Drosophila melanogaster: one gene and its partners. The protein of the gene in region 3 purifies or fractionates together with the protein of the main gene of each other region. This does not show direct contact. Each region holds a gene or a part of one and is shown on either strand. Other genes may lie near its edges.

Region 1 (8,311 bases), on a different chromosome or scaffold from region 3:
CATCGGCCTGCATTTGAACTTCTGTGGTGGCGTTTCCGGGCAACATATGCAGCTCCCGCCTCGACCTTCCCCCATTTAGCAGAAACGAGGGAATATAATCACACACGCCCTGCGAGAACTCGAAGAGGCATCGTTTGAGGAATGGAGCACTCTTGATGTACCAGCGTGCGCACTGGTTCTGGTTAATGGCATCCTGAATGTCCGATTTGGTGCGAATCTGCGCCTTGTGCTCCTCCGACAAGCAGATGAGGCGACTATGCAGCTCCGCAAAACTTTGTTTGTCCTTCATAGTGTCCCAGACGAACGTCTCTCGGGGACAAGTCTCCACACAAACCTGTTGAAATACGTATTTCATTAAAAGTAAGATCAACTCCTTGCAAATTTGATGTTAATGGTATCTCACCTGTGGAGTGTCACATCCAGTGATGGGTACAAGTGGATCGATGCACTGATTCAAGTCGAAAAAGAATAGGTTTTTCTTGTTCAGCACTCCGGAGTCCATGCCACACTTTCGGTTAAAGGAGTCCGTGGGCACCAGCAGTTTGTTGAGATCGCCGTTCCTGATGGCGTATTGGGCTATGAAGGCCCATCCGCCCAGGAAGAGGACGAATAACAGCAGGCAGGGCACATCCGTGCAGCTGCGATCCCTCTGCCTCGGTCCCGTGAAGTTCCGGTCGTAGCGCAGTGGCTCGCCGTACTTGTTCATCAGCTCCACGCTTTCCGTCATCGCTCTCTACTGAAAGAGTCCAAGAAGAACCGAGTGTTTTATGTATGTATATACATAGAGCCACTATCGATGGGTCGTCGTCTCTAGGTAATGAGATTGTCAGGCGTATATCATGTAATTTATTTCCGTGCATGCGTCATTGTTTTAAAAATGGAAAACCGAATCTGTAGTGGGTGGTCGTGTTGGCGGTGAAGCCAACCACCAGCGGCTCTTTTTGTTCTAGTTTATTTGTTAGTTTGGTTGGGGAAAGTACGATGAGTAAATGAAATTGTCGGCGACAAAGTGCGGTTTGATTATATCAACGACAGGCGGCCAACGATCCCTTTTGGATTGAACCACAATTAAATAATATTTCTTCCTATGTTTATGAATAAGACTGTTTAACCTTTTAATGATCAATGAACCTAGCTCTGTAACAAAGTTTTCTACTGGATAAATGAACTTTAAGAATGGCTTTGGATGGGCTGGTGAATTATCCATAATTATTGCTAATACATTCTCCTACAGCAGACTCATTTAATTAATCATGAAAGCAAATAGAGAGCAGAAATAAATAAAGTATCGCTCATTCGGTTTAAGAGCTCCCCTGATAACGATAGCGATCGCAACTGTACGAACCTCTTGGGGATGCGAAAATCTGCGAAGAGGTAGCAGTAAAGCAGCTCGAGCATGTCGCAAATCGGCAATAATGACGCATTAAAAAGCAAATTAAATTTGTGCGCTCACTTGTTGCTGTTGTTTGATTGTTTATGTGTATCGCTTTATTTTTGTGTGCGGCTTCTGTCCATTTGAGATGAAAAACTGGCTGCCGCCTTTAATAGATGAATTACCAAAAAAACACACAAGTTTTCATAGAAAATGGGAAACCAATTTGGGTTGGCAAGGCATTTGGGGCCACATGTTTCAAGGTCGATTGCCGTAACTCCATTTTGGTGTAGGAATTTCAATGTCTGGGAGTAGAGTTTATCATTCAAGCAGTGCTACGGGCAACACTCTCAGTAGCTAACCTTTTTTTCTTGCAAAGAAACTTGTAGACATGATAAGAAAACGGGTGTTCGTTTTGATATCTAACCCATTTGCATAATTTGTAGTGTAGAAAACTGGTTTAAACCTAAGTTGTCCTTGCATCGAGTGTTTACTGTGTTCACCTTGGACTACGTCACTTGAGATAAAAGAAAGCAGTCGCAGTTCTGATCTTATCTTATAATGGTAGTCTCTTGTTTCCCATATGAACGATTTCCCCTTGTTGTTTTTTGGAACTACAAATGTACAAGGCCCCGTAATTTCGTAATGAAGCAGTATTACTCACCTTTGCTTCGGAGCCGAACGATTCTTCCAGAGATGTAACAAAGGAGCTCCACTCTTCTCGTCGCTTTTCCTTTCTTTCTTAAAGTTCCTTTATTGTCTCATGACACTTTTTTACGAGCGGCTGGGGGCTTTTTGTTTAGCTGGTTTCCTGGGACGGAGTCACTACTCCGGCGAAAGTCACCGGACCACTGAAAGCGGGAAGCCTTTGTCGGAGCTCCGTATCCCGTACGTTGCTCTTTGGACGTCGGTCACTTGCATTCGTTGGATAAATATGTACATACATACATAAAAGAGCTCGAGTGGGGCTGCAAGCATAAAGGCAGCATAAGTGTTTATGTGCTAGTGTTTGTGTGGTGCCACTTGGGGATTGGGGGTGGGGGAGTTGGGGATTGGGTTGGATTGGATTGTGAAAAGAGCAGCACGGCACACTTTTGTTAATTGCACAATCCTAATCGTTTTCACCCGATAACGAGCACTGGCCATTCCCGTTATAATAACACCTTGCAGTTTCGACCGAATTCGAATTTCTGTGCATGCAACTCTTTTCGTTTCGCTTGTTTTTGTTGTGGAGCGGGCGCATGAAATTAAGCCCCCAAGCTCACGTACTGCGACTCACTTGCACTTGCGCTAATTAAACGGCGAGCACTTGACTTTCTACGAAGTAAACTCCTTCACAATCGAAATAATACTGAATCGCCCCAAGAAAATCTGCCCACCACCCGCGGCCCCATACTCTGAACAGCTGTGCCGAACAGTGCTGCACAACGGCCCGTTCTGGTCAAAACAAAGCAGAAATGTGTGTGGAATGTGGCACTGCACAGGGATGCACAAAAGCTAGTGCGAGTGTTGGCCGCTTTCAAGCCAGATCTCGTTACTTGTTGGAAAGTTTTAGAGCCGCGTAAGTTATAAAAAAGTTTACATTATATTTTGATTTTGGGTCCTTTTTAAACAATTAAGCTTACAACAGCATAAGCCACCTATATATTTTACGTAACCTATCAACTTGGTAGCTCGAAACTTTACTTTAAAAATGAGCTAGATGCCAAGCTAATGAATTTCTAACTAACGGAATTTTGGAAATACATAGCACCCATAACAACTAAATATTGCCAAATGCAGCCAGCCGCAGCAAGTCTCGGCTTGTGCTGCGCGCAGTGTGAACGGCTCGGAGTAATTTGCGAAAACCGCGACCAGTGCTGCGCAACGCGAGTGCGAAAGCCAAAAGCAGGGTCGGATCTTTGGTGCGGGGTGGAGCGGAGAGAATGTAGCGTTGAGGATTTTAACAAGAAACAATTTAAGAATCGCGCTCCTGGCCGTGCGAAAAGCGCCTGGTCGAATCGTTTAAATGTCCCCTTTGGTAGCGTCGATTGCGTGTGTTTAATCCCCGGTGCGCTGCTTTTACAGACTGTGTTGTTTTCGTGCCGGCAAGCCAACCAATTTGAAACCCCCCAAAAAGTTTCCACTTTTTCATTCCCCCAGAAAAGTGACAATTATTCGTGGCCGTGGTCGGCGGATGCAGCTGCAAAGCGGGCGGCGATTAAAGTAGTGCAATCCGGCGCAGGTCCTCGCCATTTGTTTATGTTGATAAAGCAGTGTTTGTGGGGCGACAACAAGAAAGTGCAGCTCAGAGTGAAATTGCCACGGTTATTAAGTGGTTGTGGTTGCTTGGTGTACGTGCAGAAAACCTAAAACAGACATCCCCAGAAGAAGAGGAAGCAGCGGAAAAGGAGGAGGAGGAGCATCAGCAGCAGCGACGTCTCTGTTGTTTTTGTTTGGCTGCGAGAGAGAGAGAGGGAAAGAGCAACGAAGAACACGCGGCTCTTTCGAAAAAAAAGGGCGGGAAGGCCCTTTCGGCTCAAAGGAAACCCTATCCCACTGAATATCCGTAACTCTGCCCGCCGGAAATGTCAAAGGGGGGCGAGCACAAGCGCGTCACCCTCACCTCGATCATCCAGGGCGATGCGGGCTTCTCGCGCTTCGGCAGCAACATCCTGGAGCCTGATGCTGCGTCCGCTGCACCCGACAACAGCTCCAAACCCACGACAAAGACTGCCAAGTGCATCCGCATCAAACTCGATCTGTTCGAGACCGATTCGAACAAGTATCCCGAGTTTAACTACTCCCGGCTTTTGTATTTGGAAAAGGTAAGAGTGTATAACTCAGTTGGAGGATCGCTTTCTAAACCCTTGCAATCCGTAGAAAAAGACCAAAAAGCTGAAGCAGGTGAGCACTACCAATGGCTCCGCAAGCACTGATCCCTTTGCCGACAACGATGACGATGTGGCACGGATCGTCAAGGAGCTGGAGGCCAAGTATGGCAACTCCTATGCCACAGGCAGGGGGAAGAGCAAAAAGGACGACTACCGGGACATTGGAATGGGCTACGATGAGTCGGACTCATTCATCGACAACACGGAAGCCGTAAGAACAAGAAATATTTCCGACGAATGCACTGAAATTATTTACCTTAAACTCTATGTTCTGTCCAGTACGACGAAATCATACCGGAGGAGGCGGAAACTCTGGAGGGCGGCTTCTACATCAACTGTGGCGCACTGGAGTTCAAGAACCTCACCAAGAAGTCCTACACCACTCGAACAGATGCCATCATCAAAATGCCAGAGCGATCACGCAAGCGCATGGTCTCGTCCAGCTCGGAAAGCTCATCGTCATCCTCGGGCGATGATGACGAAAACGATGATGGCAACAATGAGGAGGACGACGAGAGCGATTCCGAGGACGACTCCGAGGAGAACGATGAAAGCGACTCCGAAGACGACTCCGAGAGTGAAAGTCTTGAGGACGAGGACTCTGCTGCTACAGCCAAATCCAGCAGCAAGTACAAAGACAATCATCAAGCTAAGCGGGCCAAGGTCATCGTTACGGGCAAGTCCAAACCAAGCTCAAGTTCTTTGACGAGTGGCAAGAAGCCGCCGACTAAGCCGATCACCACTTCCTCATCCTCAAACTCGCCACGACCCAGCACGGTGGAGATTTCGGACACGGAAGACGGCCAAGACCCTATCCAGACTCAGCCATCAAGTCAGCTTCAGTCCCTGCCGCAGAGTCAGGCCCAGGCGCAAGCTTTAAAGAAGGTGGTTAAGACCACAACGGTCAAGGACATGCTAAAGGCCAAGCGAGACAGCTTCCTGAAGTCGCAGAGCGGCACGGCAGCTGTCAAGGGCGTCGGCAACGGCGAGCTGAAGTGTGTTTCCACCGACGTGTCCAGCAGCGATAGCAGCGATATGGAGTCTGAGCACGGCCGGGCAGATAGGCAGGCCGGTCAGCATGGCAAGGATGGGCAGGAAAGTGAGTTACATATACAGTATTAGTTGGTTGAAATCACCCTTTCACGTGTTCATTTTTAAGATCTTCGCACCGCCGACACTCTGCTCCCCACCACATTGGATGCGGACATTGTGACCGCAGTCAACAGCTTCAAAGAAGCGGTGAAGAGTCGAGACATGTGCGGCAAGAAGTTTAATCTGGATGTGAAGCTTTCGCCACTACTGCTTCGGTGAGTTTGCAGCCGATGTAAACATCAAGTACAGATTTAAGGCTTATATCCATTAACCTACACCAGGGTGTACGAGGCGGTGCTGTGCACGGACCGCAACGAGCGCAACATGGTCTTCTCCCACATCGAGTATCAGCTGCAACTGCCCAAGTACTACATGCTGCGCAAAGGGAAACAAGTGCGGGCGAAGGAGGAGAAGAGGAAGTCCACCATTATGCTGGAGAAGCTGCGGCGGGCTGTAGCTGTGGTCATGCCTAAGGCGGTGGCCAACTATGAGACGGAACTGCGCACATTTGCTGAACAGGCGTAAGATTGTTGTTAAGCGAAATAACGATTAGGTTCCTTTAGATTATGATTATTATTTTCAGAGCTGCGGACGTGAACTCCGAACTGCCGCCCAAAATGCCGCGTAAGAAGTTCCAGTGGACCAGCGAGCTACGCCATCTGCTGTACGATGTGTACCAAGCGCGTTGGACGTCCTACGCTTTCCTAGCCAAGCGCAAGGAATCGTTGGAGGAGTTCATCAATTGGTATCTCAAGGAAAAGGTGGTGGAACTGTGGCCGCCAGGCTGGATGCGTTTGGATGAGTTGCAAAGGGAAATAACACGCTACAAGAACGCCAAGCTGAAAGCAAAGGAGAAGCCAAAGGCACCGCCGGCGTCCGCATCGCCCAAGCCCGTTGGAGTTGTATCTGCTCCTGAGCAAATGCCGCCGGCAAGCAGCTACCTAAAGGCAGTGGAGGACCCTCGATCTCGAGGTAACTCCGATACGGACTCAGCTACAAGTGCCTCCTCCAACAGTCTGAAGCGAAAGCTGAAGGAGATGCCCAAGCAGACCAGCAAGCCGCCAAAGAAAAAGGTGGCTAAGCAGGTACCGCTGCAACCGCAACTTACTCCGCATCCGCAATTCCAGCTGGCGCCGGCTGCCACGGCGGCCGTCAGTATACCAGCCATTAGCAATAACAACAACCACCTGCCCCACCTGGACACGCTGCTCTCCATGCCGAGCACCTCGGCTCAGGCAGCAGCACTCAATGCCGCCGCCGTAGCAGCCGCCAGTACGGTTCTGGATCTGGCATCCCCTAGCCGGAAAATTGACCTTAACACCAGCAACAATTTCTACAATCTGATCACGGCCGCCTCCCTGGCAGCCAGCGGGAATCCCAGTCCGCATTCTGGAGACGGCCAAGCCAAGGTGATTGTGGGAGCTCGGCCCTCTCCCCATGTGATCAACCTGGATGACTATCAATGCACCAGCGATATACTTCAGACGTCCAAGCAGCTAGCTGCCACCACCACTGTCATCACCGCCATCTCAAAGGCCGCGCAAACGACGTCGGTAGCCAGGGAAAGCAGCAGCGAGTCGGATGGCGTTGAGATTGTGGGAGTTTTTCCTGCCTCTAAGCCCCAAAAGAAAGTCCAGTCTAAGCCCAAGAACAAGACTCAGAACAGAGGTCGGTCGTCTTTGGGTGCGGTGGGGCAGGTAAATGGATCCCTGGGCTACAGCGCGAATAACATGTATATCTACAATAGCCCAAGAACGCTGGGTCCAGTGTACGATCTCACCGATCCGCATATAATGAAAACTATGTCAAATCTGAAGGAAATGGAAAAGCAATTCATTCAAGCGGCTTTCTCGCCGAACAGCGTCAAGGGCGCAAGCGGAGGAATGGGATCCTCAGCGCCCAGTACGCCCACGCGCCAATGACATTCGGGATCGGCCGCACAGCAGCCCCTTCCGGCTGCTGTGACGGCCTTTTACAACCAGGAGGCGATGGCCGCCGCCATCGTGCTCTCCACGATGAGCCACGCCTCGCCGCGCTACGACCTGCTGGCCAACGGCTCCGTCTCCATGTCCGCCGCCCAGGTGGGAGCCTCTGCCAACACACTGCCACAAGTATTCGTTAAACCCAGCCTGCCGCAGCCCAGCGCTGGCGGCGATGTGGTGACCACGACTGGAGCTGCTCGCCCATCCACGCAACAACTGCCCACAAAGTTCATTTAGCTAGGGTCACTCAGCTCGTTCCCTTGCGATTCTAATCTAAGATTCTAGTGCTGATTCTAGGTAGGTTTCATTCGCAGCTGTGTCTGCCGATTTTCCAATTATTGCACCAGTTTAATTATTGTTTCTCATTGAGTCGTTTACCTACTAAGTCAGTGTACTATGCAAGCATTAATAAAGCAAATTTATATATATTTATTTATAGAGAACCATTTTTATTAAATAAAGGCGAATAAGTTATGTAATAGAAATAAATCCAAAAGGCGCATTTTCTTTACACACAGCGAATATATATGTATATATATAATTGATACAAAATTAGTTCTGTAAACCAAAGGATAACGCTAAAACCAGCAACTGCCGATAAACACCGACGTGCTGTCACAGAAACGATTACTTAGTCTAATTTGTAAAAGATAACACGCGTGTCTCATGATGATATAGCCGAAAGATCGGACGTCTGTTGGTCTGCGATCATTTGATCCAGCGCAGCACCGATGTGGCCGCCATTCGCACGAAGGCGATGGTAGACTGCTGGTTGGCCGCCGGCATCAGATTGGGATCCGCCAGCTCCGGCTGCGGTGTCAGGCTGGGCACCGCCTCCCAGTCCATGCGCAGAGAGTTTTCGTCTGGAAAGGCATCAGCATCAGTTTGAAAAGATTATTCCCCTCAAATTGCTAAACCAACTCACCCTCTGACTCCGATTCCGTGGCGGTCTCGATGCCGATTAGTAGGGAGTCCACTGACTTCATGAGTGG
Region 2 (8,230 bases), on a different chromosome or scaffold from region 3:
TTGCAGTCACCAGCTTGTGGTTCGGCAACAGTCGCAGTCCACTGGGTGCCACATTCATAAAACTGGATGCCGCGCAATTGGGCCTCTGTGTTCTGTGGAATGTCCACTGTCTTTGGCGCATCGCCATCGTCGACGAGCACTGGTGGTCACTTGGCCTGGCCCTGCTTGTTCTGCTGAATCACTTTGTCCTGTGGCGACTGCCGCTGCACTACAACATCAGCCAATTGGAGGTGGCCACCGTGGGCATGTGCTTTAGCACCATCTTTGCGCTGAATGCCATCCAGGAGCAACTGGACGCTGTGGCCAGCTGAGAGTAGCTGGTCGGGCAACCAGGGACTGGAGCCTTGATTGCCAAGCTCTAAGACACCAACATTTAATTATAAGATGCACGTTGTTGAACAATTTTTTGAGTAATAAACCAGACTTCTTATTTCGAAACAATTATTGCATTGTTATCATACATACATAAAAGTGTGGAATTATATTGGATTAGACGGTTTCCTTTTGCATAAGCTTTTTAATACATATTTTCGTTTTAAATATAGTTTAAATTACTTCTCTATGCGCTTTATTACATATTGATCTGGGCTTGGAGTTTCTATACTCTCGGTTTTGTTCGCCGGCTCGAAGTGTTCCACGCAACGAGCACGGCCTAGCCGAAAACTAACTCTCATTGTTAAGGAAAATTAAATGTAGCAAGTATCGTTAGAAAGAAAACTATATATATATATATGTATACGATTTAAAAGAATGTGAAAACAAATCGTACGCCTACGAAACTAATAATTGGGGCGAGAGATGGTTGTGGTGGGTTGAGGGATGAGGTTTTGGGCGGGGCAATTTCCTAGGCGTGGGTGCTGTCGTCCTCGACGAAGTCCTTGGCCTCCTCCCTGGTCACACAATCAATGTGACTGACCTTATTTCGGAATCGCACGCCGTAGAACTTGTGCGCGTTCTCCAGCAATTCCGGCCGGAACGTTGTCGTAATGAACTGGGCAGTGTCGCTGAGCTCATGGATCATGTTCGCCACCGCCTTTCGATGCATTGCATCCAGCGCCTGCACAAAACATTAGTAGATCATTAGTCAATCAAATAAAGTAATGCGTAATTATAGGTAATGTGACGACTCACCTGATCTATCTCATCAAATAGGTAGAAGGGAGCTGGATCGCACTTTTGGATGGAGAAAATGAGGGCCAGGGCGACAAGCGACTTCTGTCCACCAGACAACTGGTTCATCTCACGCATCTCAGCCTCAACGCCGGTGAACGAAACCCGAATGCCGATCCCTGTGAAAGCATCGGAGTTTTCCACCTCCTTTTCCATTTCGTCGCCTTCGTTGTCCTTGGTCTTCAGGATGAGAAAGCCCGCGCCCATGGGCACCAGCTTCTTAAACACCTTGGTGAAGTTCTGCGCCACTTGTCGGAACGTAAATTGAATGGCCTCCACTTTTTGCATCTCCAATGACTGAATTAGCATGTGGATCTTCTGGTCACCGATGTCGAGCTCCTCTTTGCGGCGATAGAGCTTCTCCTTCTGCTCGGAGAAGCTCAAGAACTGATCCAGGGCTTTCTTGTTCACATGGTTATACTTCTTCAGGTGCTGGTTTGCCTTCTCCAGCTCTTTGAAGATGTTCTTCAGGGACATGCGTGTGTAGGAAGGATCAACTAGCGGCACGGCGCCCAAGCTGGCAATCTTTTCCGTACACTCATCGATTTTTTCGTTGAGCATGTTCTCCTTGGTCGACCATTTCTCCAGCTGCTTGGAATCCTTGTTAAGATTCTCCTCGGCCTCCTTCTCCTTACGCACATGCGTTTCGAGCTCCTGCTGCAGCTCCTTTTGCAGTTGCACAGCCTCCATTACCCGCTTTTCGATCTCCTCCAGATCGGAGTTGACCTTCTTGATTCTCTTTTCGGCGGAAACCAGTTCCGTTTTGCAATTGTTTAGCTTTCGCTTGCGGTCCTCCACGGAAATCTCCTGCAGCGCTTGGATCAGTTCGTCGCGACGCCGGAACAGATTGTTGATCAGCAGGTTGTCTAGCTTGTTCTTGCGCACCTCGAACTGCATACGCTGCGTAAACGCTTCCTTATTCTCCTGGTTCAGTCGACGAATGTCGTCGTTCAGCTGGTCAATCTCACGCTGATCCTGCGACGACAACGTCGACATCAGCTCCTGCTTCAGCTCCGCCTCCAAACTAGATTTCGTACTGGTCATGGACTCCAATGAGGCCTTGCATTGGGCCAGTGAGCGCTCCTTGGGCGCACGATACTGCTCGATGCGCACCAGCTCCTCCTTCATCAGGCGAATCTCGCCCTGCACCTTTTCGAATACATCCTTCGACTTGCCCTGCTTCGTTTCCGTCTTCTGCATCTCGGATACGATTGAGTTGATGTTGTTCTCGGTGGACTTGAGCTCGTTTCGCAGCTTGCTGAGTTTCTTTTCGAATTCAGCTATCTGGCTGGTGTATTCCGTGCGCTTCTTTTGCATCTCAAGACGGGAACGGGATGTATTGAAATAGCCGCCAGTGAGGGATCCCTTGGAGGACACTTGATCTCCGTCCAGCGTAACGCAATCCAGCCCAGTGCTCTTGGCCAGCTCGGTGGCGCGCTCCAAATTTCTGCAGATTAGCGTTTTTCCAAAGATATACCTCAGCGCCTTGTCGTGCTGTTCATCGTACTTCAGTTTGGAGATCATAGGTATGGAGTCGGGATCATCCGGATAATCGTGTATTTTAACCTGAAGTCGATTCAGGGGCATAAAGGTCACCTCGCCCGGTAATTTCAGCTTATTCATCTCCTTGAGGATTTGCGTGCCCTCGTATTCTGACTCCACAATGTGATGGAATAACCGATTGGCGGCTGTTACCTCCACCGCCGTGTAGATGGTCTTGTCGCAGCTGAAGTTCTCAATGACGGGTCCATAGTAGGCTCTCGCAATCTCCGCCGATTGACCGCCACGTTCCACAAAGCTGTCGAGAACCTTGCGCACAGAATCGCAACCGTTCAGGATCGGCTTGCCGGCCATGCTGCGCAGCGCCTGGTCCGCCCGCGATAGCTCCTCCTTGTGCGTCTGCAGCTGCTGCGTCATCTGTGTCTCCTTGCGCCACAACTCGTTTCGCATGGACTGATGCTGGTCCTTGGTCTTCTTAAGCTCGTAGTACTTCTTGTTGTGCTCGTCGATCTGCAGTCGGAGCTGCTCCAGTTCCGATGAGTGCTCCTCGATCTTTTGACCCAGATCCTTTTCGGAGGTAGCGTCCTTCTTCAGATCCTCCACGAGTTTTGCGTGATGAGCGATTTTATCGCGCGTCTGTTTGCTAATTGACTTCAGCTCGTTGGTGATCCATTTGTCGCGATCCTCCCTAGAGGAGAACTGTGAACCGCGACCCTGCTTGGCGTAAAGCTCCTTGCGCTTCTGTTCCTTGAGCTGCAGCTCTCGGGAGCAGTCTTCCTCCTTGCGCTTCATCGCCTCGTATTTGGGCTTTACGTCGTCCAGTTCCTTTTCGCGTTCGGCTATCGTTACCTTAAGGTTCTTAAGCTCCTGGTCAGCCCGCTCCTTGGACTTGTTGTCGCCCTGAACCTCGTCATTTAGATCGACAATGGTTAGGTCTAGTTTCGTTTTCTCGCGCAGTAACTGTTGCTGCTCCGTCATCAGTACGGAGCGCTCCTCCTTTGTGCTCTGCACTTTCTTCTTTGCCTCTTTAAGGTTCTTTTGCACATCCTTGATCTTCTCTTGTGCCTTCTGAATCTCAATGTTGTAGATCTTCTTTTTGTCCGAGGACGACTTGCGCTGCAGCTGGAGCTCGTCGAGAGCCTTCTTGGTGTCCTTCAGCTCGGTTTCGTAGCGTATATACTCTAGCGTGCGGCGCGTCTTGTCCCACTTCTGGTACTCCTTTAGCTCTTCCTTCTCCTCTTCGAGCGTCTGGAGCCGATCCTCGATGGTCTTTAGGTACTCGCTGATTTTCTCCACCTTGCTGTCCGTCTCGCGCAATAGATTTAACGACTCCTCCTTCCGTTCGTCGTAAACACGCGTTCCCGCGACTTCGCGTAGCAGCTTGAGACGATAGGAATCGGCGGCAGTTGCCATCTGATTGATTTTGCCCTGCTTGACAATGTAGTAGGGATTTGAACTGGAAAAACCAGCCGATTCCAGCAGATTGACCACCTCATTGCGCGGCACCACCTTCTTGTTGAGGAAGTACTGGTCCTTTTTGGCGCCAATCACGCGCCGCAGAAAGATCTCTTCTTTGTCGATCTACAAAATAAGCGTAGCGTCAGTTATGAAGTGGCTAGAAATGTTTGCCTATAAGTTTGAATATTATGAGAAGATGCTATGAGCGGGTTGCTTTAGAGGATTTTGAGCGATATGTTACAACCATTGACTACATCTTCCAAGGCAGTAGAGTTCTTGCAAAGACTATGTTTTCTGGGTCACTTGGTTTGACTACTCACTGGAACTCGGTTGTCCGAGTTGTCGAAGATGATCTCCACATAGGCGGAGATGACGCGGGCACCTGTTCCCTCGTGCAGAAGCGACTGACGCTGCTCCGGCCGCAAGTGGGTGAACTCATCGCTTAGCACAAACTGGATGGCTGCAAAGTGGATGGGATAGCATTAGGGTCGATTAAATATGGTTAGCTGAACAGGCAGGCTGGAGCTGATACTAACCGTAGAAGAAGTTGCTCTTCCCGGAGCCATTACGTCCAACAACAACGTTATGGCGCTTGTCGAATGGTTCCACCACCGTCTGGTCCTTGTAACTCTTGAAGCCTTGTATAATAATCTGGAATTAACGGGTGGATTTCAGATCTTCGGTGTCCAATGGGTGGCCAGGAGCATGGCCGTCATTTCAACACTCACCTGCTTGATGTGCATCTTATTATATGCGATTTTTTGCACAAAATCGCGCTCTTTTTGTTTTACAACAAATACATAAATAATATCGACTCGGGCAGCGACTTATCGATGTTTGCGTTTCACTATCGATGTCATCGATATCCCAACTTTGAAAAACACTGGCTTGCAATCGAACCAAAAATTCAAATGATATAAAACAAAAAAATAATTTTAAATTTTACAACTAAAAGTGTCCATCAATAATGGTTTAAGAAGCAAACAAATAATTAATTTAATAAGGTAGTTTGAAGGTGTGAAATACTAAAACAACGATAGCCGACGTTATCGAATCGAATCGATTACTCTTGTTAAATTCACTCAGTACAGATATATTTTTATAGAAAGCCACTCGATTCATTCGATATAAATAAACACGGAACACCGTTTGTGTTTATTATATTACGACGTGTCTGTATTTTGACCCGTGCCCGAGGATCTGGAAAGTTCGCGATTGCCGCCAAAACAAGCAAGGACCCCATTCGGGTGTAGCAGGTGCAGGAGCAGGTGGACAGGAAACGGAGAAGCAGCTGAAGGAAACTCAAAGGAAGTGGTCACAGTGGGGAGAAGGAGCCCGTGAACTGAACCATCATCATTACCATCGAGCGCATTTAGGATGGCTGGGTCCGCACTGCGCCGCCTGATGGCGGAATACAAACGTGAGTCGAAAGTCCACAGGGCAGCAACAGCTTTCCCTTACCACCGCTCCGATCATCTCCAGAGTTAACACTTGACCCGCCCGAGGGCATTGTGGCCGGCCCCATCAGCGAGGACAACTTCTTCGAGTGGGAGGCACTGATTGCGTGAGTTAAGATCCCCGAACGATCGACACGGATCGGACAGATGTGGACAGATTAACCCATTAATTGCACTTTGCCCTTTGCAGCGGACCTGAGGGCACTTGTTTCGAGGGCGGAGTGTTTCCTGCCCGGCTCATCTTTCCGACCGACTATCCTCTGAGTCCGCCTAAAATGAAATTCACTTGTGACATGTTCCATCCCAACATATTCGCCGACGGGCGGGTCTGCATATCAATACTACACGCACCCGGCGACGATCCCATGGGCTACGAGCTATCCGCGGAGCGCTGGAGTCCTGTCCAGAGCGTGGAGAAGATTTTGCTTAGTGTGGTCAGCATGCTGGCGGGTAAGAAAAAAGTCACAATAAAGTCTTAAGGGCAATTCCAACGGGGGTATCTACTTCCAAGTTCATTTGTTCACTAGATTATATGGTTGATCATGCCGATAGTTCACTTCACTTGTTCATTCCTTAAGTTCAAACTGATGTCGTTCATTTTTGCCCACAGAACCCAACGATGAGAGCGGCGCTAATGTGGATGCAGCAATTATGTGGCGCGAACAGAGGGATGAGTTCAACGCCATCGCCCGACGGCTGGTGCGCAAAACTCTTGGTTTACCGGCGTAAATGGATCATGTGCGTCACCGTCAATACTTTCTACCCTGAACAACACGATTCCAACAACTCGCTAACCCATAGTTTTCTCAAAAATCCCTCGTTGAGCTAACCGACACAAGTTTCAAATTAGCAAAAATGAAGAACCTAACGTCAAAATCGACTAACTCAAGTTTATCTAGCACACTGACTGCCTCACCGGACTTAACTGGAGGGCCTATTACCTGAAGTACATCACTGGTAGTTGGACACGAGGCCAGGTGAAGGCGGAGTGAGAAGTTGGCAAGAAAAGTGAAAATTCTAATAATTTCTATTATTAAAGGTTTATTTTTTTTTATATATTTTCACTAGATATAATTTGTATTGATGCTTTATAAAGATGCTGTTTTGAAAAGTTAAATAGAAATTACGATAATTCAAGTGCAAGGGCAATGTATTCGAAGTGATTGAGGCGTTTGATTTGCATTATGCTTTATGTTTGGTTTATATAGTCATTACACACTTAATTCGACTGATCATTAACTGAAATCCAACATGAAATTGTCCTATGTACTCATAAAATACTACACAATTGTAAACGTTTTCATTCGATTAAGTAAATTGATTAATGTTCACTTTGATAAGGCATACGACTGTATGTATGTATATATATATATATATTTATATGTTTATAGGTAGGTGGGTAAATGCACACCCATACACATACATTGGTTAAGTGTCCACTGGTATGAGGGTAATATAGTTATCTAATAGTTGCTGAAGGTTACTAAGCCACACGAATTTCAATTGACCGGGCCCGCATAAATTAATGCTCTCTGTCTTCTTGGTTTTCGGACCATAGATGGGCTCGAAAATGTTTACACCATTCGATCGTTCGAGTACGGTGGGCACCACAGACTTTTACGGCCCACTGTACGTTCCACCAGTTAGTCAGTCAGTCATCAAAACATTGCCAATTAGTGGGAGTGGGCAAGGGCTGCGCCAGTTCGGATTTCCATTGACCCACTGTACGGTGGGTGGGGGAAGTCAATGCAGATTGCTTGAATTTTCTGCTTGGTGGTCTACTTGGGTTGCAGCTATCGTTAAGGTGCAGTTCTTATCTAAACTATCCTTATATAAATTTTATAGATTATATACCAATCAGATAATGGAAAAAACATCGCATGCCGCTTTATAAAAGTCTACGTTTCCGGAGAAAAACCTTTTCTTTTTGTTTAAAACATTAAAAATCTTTCGTAAGTTGAGCTGGTTGGTTTAGAATCATGGTTAAAAAGTTCACTTTTCTCTTTTTTGTTATTCAAAAAATTAAATACAATTTGCCTACATTAAATAGTAGTTAAATGAAGATAAAATTATATTCATACTTTGCTACTCTATTCAATATAATACCTTTTCTCTATATATTTCACTTGAGAGGCATTCAAAAATATCACTTTTCAGACTCCGGTTTCTGCCCATTTTGGCTTAGAGCTCTCACCTGGCTCTCATCAATAAGTTTTTGCCTGTTACTGGCAACAGGGTGTGTCATAGTGTAGATGTGTGACAGTGAATGTGGCGTAATTAACCTTTTGACAAACCGGTTAAATACAAATATCTAGTGCCATGACACCGTACAAATAAAAATAACAAAATGACAGCAGAGCAAATAGAACATATGTATGCAAACGAAAAAGCGGGATTCATTCAGGGCGGGAATAGGTGGAATTGGTAGTAAACACAAATATTATTGGTTCGATAATTATGTATAATTACATATGTATGTATTAACGTATTTTGGAGGGGGGGAGAGGAGAGGAGGCGCTGAGTCAACAGCTAACAAGCAAACTTAACACGGTCACATGAGGTCAATAAAATTAGATCAACACGGCGGTTATGGAAACAGAGACTAAAGAATAAAGATATCCAGAGCCTCGGCTAGCTAGTCAACA
Region 3 (7,355 bases):
TTCAGATATATTAATGTTACAAGAGCCAATGCCTACTCAACCTTTAATACCCCAACCCATATATGTATGACAACTTCCAAAAATTTAGTAAAAACTAAATATTTTCGTATACTTCCGCAGGGGCCACCGCCGAAGTGATTCTTTCCCGAGGTATCATGCTGTGGGTGGGTGCCCGAGGCACCGAGTTCAGTTGGATCTACATCCTCAAGTGTCTGGAATCGAACGTGCTTCTGGTGCAGCACATCACTACGGCCACCCTGATCTGGCTCTTCACCCGTCACGATTTGAACAAGGCATTAAAGCCGCTGGTTAGTCTACTTCTGGCGGTGACTGTCTTCAAAGGCGTCTGGCTGGAGGGCATGCTCCACATTCTGACCATTGGACCTTGGCTAACGGTGGCTGTTAAAGCGCTGGTGGCGGCCGTCATTGGATTCTGCACGCTGCACATCTATTCGGGTCTGGCCCAGCAGATCGGAATTTAAGCAATTGTGCCAAACACTCTGTATTCCTTTGTTTTTGTAACTTGTTTATTTTTTGGTGTTGTCAGAGAAATTGAGATTTTGTAACAAAGACAACAATTACGGTTTAGAGAATTACTCCAAATGTTAATGAATTATAGCTACGATAACGTAATAGTAACAAAGATAACAAACAACTTTTAATGGGTACACGAAACTAATATGATAATGAAAAAAAAACTATTTTTATAGACAGCAACAAGTAACATCTATAGAATTTTTCAATTCTTGAAATGAAACGAATTATCCAGGACATCGTTGCTCAATTGTACCATAAGATTGTATGGAAAAAGAGTAGATTAAAGCCATCTAGGTTAGAGATTGGCTCAACTTATATGTTATAACACAATAGCAATAACAGAAAACAAAACAACAACAAAAATGTGGAAGATTGTCAACTACAAAGTTGTTTGGTAATCTTGAAAAAAATTATCTAAAAATATTCACAGAGTCTCACTCAGCATAAGATTGTCTATTAGCTTAGCGGACTCTTTGCCAAGAGTAATTTGGTACATTTCCAGCGAATTAGCTCGCTTTGATATCTCTATAAAATGGTCTCGAACAAGATCTGAAATTTAAGCTATACGTTATTTCCAACACACATTTTGTTCTTTTTCGAACTCACACAACAAATGGAGAAAGGCTAACGAAGCCTTGATGCGACTATCAAACGTTTTTATAAAATCAATGGCATCGATTCCCGTGATTTTCGGATTATTACGCCAAATGCTTAAGAGACTCATCATTACGCTGTAGGTATCTGCAATGAGATTATATTTTATTTACGATAGCATGTTGTAAACATTGGCTGAACTCACCATCATGATTATCCTCACGGTATATGCCGTGCTCATTCATTTCATTATGATAATTCTGATTTACATCATCACGTGGCTGAAGTTGAGGTTGCACACAGTCTTCCACTTCAAGCGGTTCGGGCTGATAGATATGTGCCGCTTTATCCCTACATTTTGTAGCCTGCGATGGTCGCACAAATATCTCTTTAGAAAGATTCTCGGTAAACTCGCAGCCAAATATGGTTCTCAATGTGTTTTCTGCCTCGAATTCCTTTTCTTCATTACTGAGCTTAGGTCCGGAGTGGTTATGAAGAGCTAAAAAACTTACACTACATCAAAAAATTAAAAAGTTTTAAATAGCAAAATGTATAAGGCTCCTACTTATTATACAGTTTACAGAGAAGTTCCTTAGGGGGTTTCCGTAAATCCGAGGATTTTGGCACTATCACATTCCTTGAAAGGTATTCTTCCATATATTTCTGTCTATGCTTCACCAGCTGCTCCCGGGTGTATTCAATTCGTTTGTCTACTATTAGCTTTCTTTTCCGATTTTTCGGGTGGCTAAATGTTATTTCTCCAAAAGAATTTAAAACGGATGGCAACGACGGTTCACAAACTATCTGAGTTACTTCAGCTGGTTCAATGTTATGCGGAAAGATTTGGGTCATGATAGCATTGTCAGCTTGGAAAACATCGCAATCATCCAATCTGGGCATTTTATCCGGTAAGATGTCAGTTGGATCCTGAGCTATTGAGTGTCGCTTTACTATAATACAAAAAAATAGTTTATTACATTTTCAATTGAATTGAGAATTCTTACGTGAGTTCCGTGTGCCATCTTTGGGGTAAAGCTCTTGAAAAATGGTTAAGTCCGCGCCCTCGGCTTCGCCAAAACCATTTGATGGCATAATTAAGCTATGATCTTCGGGAAGTTCAATCTCTTCGGTGATTGTAATGGAATGATACGACTTTGACTGAGTGCAACTCCGGGGTTGTTCAATAGACTTTTTGCGAAAAATGAAATCATATAAGGAAGCAGTCCAACAGTATATTGACGACTAACCTCGTTCAGGTCCTCCACCACCTGTTGTGTGCACTCCGTTTGCCACATCTGGCATTCGGATAGCATCTTCTCGTAGTATTCATGTGAGAATTCATCCAATAGATCCGATTCCTGCAGTCTGGGACGTTTTGATACTGTTACTTTAGATTTCTTGGTGATCACCCGCTTTCCTTTGCGTTGGATTCGAATCTCTGATTTGTTGACCACTACGGATTTTGTTGTGGTGAGAACGTAATCCAAGTTGGTACGTGTACATTGGTCAAGTAATACCTTCGTGTCCCCTGTAAGAATTCGTGATTATATATCAATGTTACGTAATATTCGGACTAATACTTACCCAAAAGTAGATCCACTTGGCATCTAAAAATATCCGCAACTCCAAAAACCAAGCGGGAAATGTCCTTGAAAATAACATTTTGCCGGTTTCTTGCGGCCAAAACATTGGATCGTTTCTGGCGTTTTCTTAATGCATTTTCCTCAATTAATTCGGTGATTTGCTTGCTGAAATGTAGATAAATGTTGAAAACAATTGAATATAATGAAATGTTAAAAAAATTCATTATATTTAATATTTAATTACCAGCAGGCGACTACATCCACATCAGCGATCTCATTTCGATTAAGTTGGCCAAATGCCGATTTCCTCGGTTTGCGCCCTCCCGCTTTCCAGCAGGAATTAAGGATGTTGCTCTCATATAAATTCAAGCTCATTGTAACTACGACATTAAGCACATAGATTATAGTATTAACTATTTATAAGTTAGTGCTCTCTGTAACAACCCTAAAGTAACGGTACTTTTTTGACAGTCCATCAGCCACTAGAGAGGACAAACATGATCCAAATATCGTATACGAACGATTTTTACCTACTATAAAATAATGATAAGTTTTAAGTATATCTACAAAACATTTTTAAAAAAGAGCGTTCCTATTTCAATCTAAAAAATACATTTCAATTATTTTTAATAAATTCCATAAATAATACCAATGTTGCCGTAAAGAAAAAAGCTTAATGAAAAAAAAACCTTTAGCAAATATTGTTATTATTTTTTAATTTATCAGAAACGTCGTTTAACAACACTTCACATATTTTTGATGCAGCACAGAATATTATTTGGCGTTCAGTGAACGGTCTCACTGCAGGAACAACAAAACAAAACTCAGAATAAACGACAGTATTTAAACGATTCCTTAAGGACAAGTGATATTGCATTCCTACAATTAACTGCCAAAAATTCGGTAGTGCAGCACACTTTACAGATCGCATCCCTAACTTCATAGCTAAAGTTATGGTAGGAAGTGTATATAGGGTCGGAAATCAATTACCAAAATGAAAACATGACTAATAGAGTGTGGGCGTGTTTTTGTTTTTGTTTTTCAATCGACGATTGTTGTTAGCAGATAACTTTGGTGATTCCAATTCATTAATCAATTATATCGATTTCATACAGAGTGATAACCAGATATGCGACATAAGCAACGAAGTTCTGGAGGAATTGAAGAAGTTTCGATTCAGCAAGAGCAAAAATAATGCGGCTTTGATATGTAAGCCTTGATTGTCATGGTAACAGATGTGTGTAGTTTTTATGACCACTCCATTGTCCCTTGCAGTGAAAGTCGACCGGGAGAAGCAAACGGTGGTGCTGGACGAGTTCATCGACGATATTTCGGTGGACGAGCTGCAGGATACATTGCCAGGACACCAGCCCCGATATGTCATCTATACGTATAAAATGGTCCATGACGATCAGCGCATTTCGTACCCAATGTGCTTCATATTCTACACACCCAGGGATAGCCAGGTGGGAGTTTAGCAATGCTCAAATATATTCTATAATTCATAACTCTCTGTTTCAGATCGAATTGCAGATGATGTACGCCTGCACGAAGAGCGCTCTTCAGCGCGAAGTAGATCTCACACGCGTCTACGAGATACGCGAACTAGACGAACTCACCGAGGAGTGGCTGAAAGCCAAGCTCAAGTAGAGAGGTTTCGATCTCTGGGATCAATCAATCCGGGCCGTTGTCAAAAGCAATATTTTATGATAGTTCTCTGATTGATTTTTGAGCTTTTTATATACATATTCAAACTGGATTAAGCCGATACCAACGATGCATACCAATACCAAACAAACCAATATTGAGATACTACAATTTTTACCTACAGAAAACACAAATCAAGCTTAGTTTATACAACAATGACATTTTTATATCGACGACAAGTATGCGACAAGTACGCGCGGGGAGTTTTTAGTGATTTTAGTTCTTGCATTTAAGTAATAATCTTAATAGAAGCTGTGCTTGCCAAATTTCTACATGTATTTATTGTAAAGATATAAAAGCAAACATGACAAAATATTCCATTTTATATAGACAAACTAAATAAAAGTGTTCAATATCAAAACATAATCTAAAACAATAATTATGATTAAGATAAATCTTCGTAGCTATACTCTAATAATGTAGTCTTTGTGCCGCCGTGTGGTGCAGCATAGTGTAACGTCCTTCACTTGGCGTTGGCGGTGGAGGCGGCGGCGGTGCCAACATGTGAGCCATTGCAGCCATTCCCATTTGTGTGGCGGGATTCGGTGGGCCGAGATGATGCAGTGCATCGTGATGGTAGTGATGCGACATAGGTGGTGCAGGAGGCAACGGCAAATTCAGTAGATTATTATTCGCCGCATGCGTGCGAAAATGTAGACTTAGGCTGTCCGCCGTATCAAATGCCTTGTCGCAATCCGGACACTTGAAGTGGGCGTGATCGAGGGTGTCCAGACCCACGGGATCCGTGTCTATAGCCTCATCATCATCATCATCCACTATATCATGGTTTGTACTGGACTCCAGAGGATGAAGCTTCAATTTATGAGTCCGCATATCTCTTCGCCTGCTGAAAGCCTTGCCGCAGACATCGCAGTGATGGTTTTTGATGCCCGTATGGGTTATCATGTGCTTGGAGAGATCACCGGCGGTGTAGAAACCTTTCTGACATAGCGAGCATACCTGATCCCGCACTCCTAAATGAATCTTCTGGTGCGCCTGGAAATTGCCTAACGCGGAAAACTGCTTTGAGCAGATCTCACACTGAAAAGGCTTGTCGCCCGTGTGCGTTCTTTCGTGGACTTTAAGATTGTACTTTTGGGCGAATCTCTGGATACAAAAGCTGCATTGGTAGGGTTTCTCGCCAGTATGTGTTCTTATATGCTGTGTTAATTGGGCAATGCATTTGAAGCTTTTGTGGCACTCGTAGCAGGTGTGGGGCATCTTTGGCACAGGTTTGGGCCCCCGTTTTTTGTGCTCTTCTGGCGGCTTTCTTTGATAGCGCGACCGCCTCTTGCTCACTTTGGCATCCACGGGTTCCTCTTCATCGCTATCGCGCTGCGGAAGCAACGGCTTCTCCACAAAGTCCGTATTGGTGGCCGCATCCTGGCGCCAGGATTCCAGAATGCCCAGATATTGTCGCAGTCGGAGATCACTGTTTTCGCATTCCTGCTTGAAGTGGAAGGCCACCCCCAGCCGGTAAATACAGTTGTTGCAGATCACCGAAGGTAGGCCATCGGTTTTAAAAACCTAAAACAATTTCCATATGCCAATTAACATTGAAATATTTTGTTTTTAGAACCCACTCTTATTTTAGCGCATTGCATCAACATTACGGAGGGCATCATAGCAAAGTCTGTACTATATATCGAAGTTACAGGATGTAGTTCCTCCAGGCAAACTCTGCATATTTTGTGGATATTATAGTCCATGTTTTATTTCAATTTTATAGAAATCAACAAAAAAATTATTGAAAATTTTGCTCTAAACTCCTATCAGCTGATTGGGACCAGGGCTGCAACGGTACAGTCGTAACTCTAGCTTGTGAAACAAATCTATCATATATGATTAAATTTGTTTCGCGTGTTTAAAATGAATTTCATACTCAATGTGGATTCATTTCCGCAAATATGCAAAAGATATAGTAATATTTTGGTGAGCTACTTCAACTACTAATTACGTTGATAAGTGTTGATAACAATGATTACATAAATATTTAAAACCCACCTTTGTTTTACGAATTATATAAAAAATGCACATACATGTACCGCTAAATATTTATTGCATATTATCTGAATTATTTTCATTTATGAAATTTGGGTAAAAACTGTAGGAATAGGCAGGGCTGCACATGCGATACGGCGTTGCCACCTTCAACGAAAAAGTGTAACCTTTTTTCGTTTTTGCGCTGACGTGACGTGACAGTTGATTTGTTTGATTAAAATAACTAAGAGTAAAATCGCAGCCAAATCGATTTGCGCCACTAACCCGGAATCGATAGCCGGAAGCAAAGACGCAGCCGGAAAAGGAGAGGCATATAAGAAGAACGATCCTCGCACCGGTCGAGGAAAAGAGAGAGAGAGAGAGGGGCAGCGAGAGAGAGAGAGCGTGAGAAACTGGGAGCTGCACGGGTGAAATTTCGTGGTTTCGGGACCCCGACCACCTGAGCTCTCCACCCCCCGCTGATAATATACATATCCCCGCATATATTCCCCACTTTCAAGATGCTGTGTATACAATATTAGCGATTATCGAGACCAGGCAGCGCATGTGCCGGCATCCAAAAAGGCACAAATTGAATACTTTAACTATTGTAAACAAATTCTGGAGAGGAGGTGACCAAGGTCAAACAATCCGACGAATACGAATACCTGGCGGCTAGTCTCGTTTCACTCCACCGCAAAGTGCCAGTTAACCAGTGCCGCTTGCCATGGCCACAAGCAGCCAGCTGTTGCCCAATGGCAACTTGTCCAGGAATGGCAAGACCAAGACAGAGGACGGTGAGGAGGTGGAAGCCGTTGTTGGAGCTCGTGCAGCAGGTGCAGATGCCGGAGTAGCACTAACGGGACGACTAACAGGACACCCATCCACATCCGGAACGTTTATGAAACTGAAAACCTATCTCCTAGCTCTGCGTCCCTGGTCGCTGTCCGCCAG

What was found. The genes of interacting proteins can lie anywhere in the genome.
Region 1: the proteins of c(2)M (region 3) and yem purify together in Drosophila melanogaster (affinity purification with western blotting; one study listed by BioGRID). This does not show direct contact.
Region 2: the proteins of c(2)M (region 3) and SMC3 purify together in Drosophila melanogaster (affinity purification with western blotting; 2 studies listed by BioGRID). This does not show direct contact.

What each region holds. Positions count from the first base shown.
Region 1 is NT_033777.3:29,117,830-29,126,140, reverse strand, and holds yem (yemanuclein), read left to right. Parts: upstream 1-3,261; 5' UTR 3,262-3,939; coding exon 3,940-4,179; intron 4,180-4,234; coding exon 4,235-4,456; intron 4,457-4,524; coding exon 4,525-5,344; intron 5,345-5,404; coding exon 5,405-5,552; intron 5,553-5,618; coding exon 5,619-5,858; intron 5,859-5,920; coding exon 5,921-7,259; coding exon of another isoform or gene 7,260-7,556; 3' UTR 7,557-7,811; downstream 7,812-8,311. Other genes in the region: Ctl2 (choline transporter-like 2), read right to left, coding at 1-334, 404-727; Atg14 (Autophagy-related 14), read right to left, coding at 8,028-8,182, 8,245-8,311. UniProt on the Drosophila melanogaster protein: May play a key role in egg organization. May be a transcriptional regulator having a role in chromatin remodeling in concert with Hira, a histone chaperone. Involved in chromosome segregation by affecting kinetochores function in the first meiotic division.
Region 2 is NC_004354.4:16,588,496-16,596,725, forward strand, and holds SMC3 (structural maintenance of chromosomes 3), read right to left. Parts: upstream 4,945-8,230; 5' UTR 4,872-4,944; coding exon 4,857-4,871; intron 4,780-4,856; coding exon 4,665-4,779; intron 4,589-4,664; coding exon 4,449-4,588; intron 4,252-4,448; coding exon 1,132-4,251; intron 1,058-1,131; coding exon 845-1,057; 3' UTR 501-844; downstream 1-500. Other genes in the region: CG13014 (uncharacterized protein), read left to right, coding at 1-311; Ubc7 (ubiquitin conjugating enzyme 7), read left to right, coding at 5,506-5,548, 5,611-5,692, 5,776-6,035, 6,196-6,314; CG9784 (uncharacterized protein), read right to left, coding at 8,221-8,230.
Region 3 is NT_033779.5:16,299,086-16,306,440, reverse strand, and holds c(2)M (crossover suppressor on 2 of manheim), read right to left. Parts: upstream 3,178-7,355; 5' UTR 3,090-3,177; coding exon 2,959-3,089; intron 2,880-2,958; coding exon 2,716-2,879; intron 2,660-2,715; coding exon 2,379-2,659; intron 2,320-2,378; coding exon 2,136-2,319; intron 2,082-2,135; coding exon 1,697-2,081; intron 1,645-1,696; coding exon 1,337-1,644; intron 1,279-1,336; coding exon 1,144-1,278; intron 1,087-1,143; coding exon 962-1,086; 3' UTR 501-961; downstream 1-500. Other genes in the region: CG5861 (uncharacterized protein), read left to right, coding at 121-482; GMF (glia maturation factor), read left to right, coding at 3,668-3,670, 3,830-3,923, 3,990-4,180, 4,236-4,364; CG17328 (uncharacterized protein), read right to left, coding at 4,833-5,948, 6,005-6,130; heix (heixuedian), read left to right, coding at 7,129-7,355.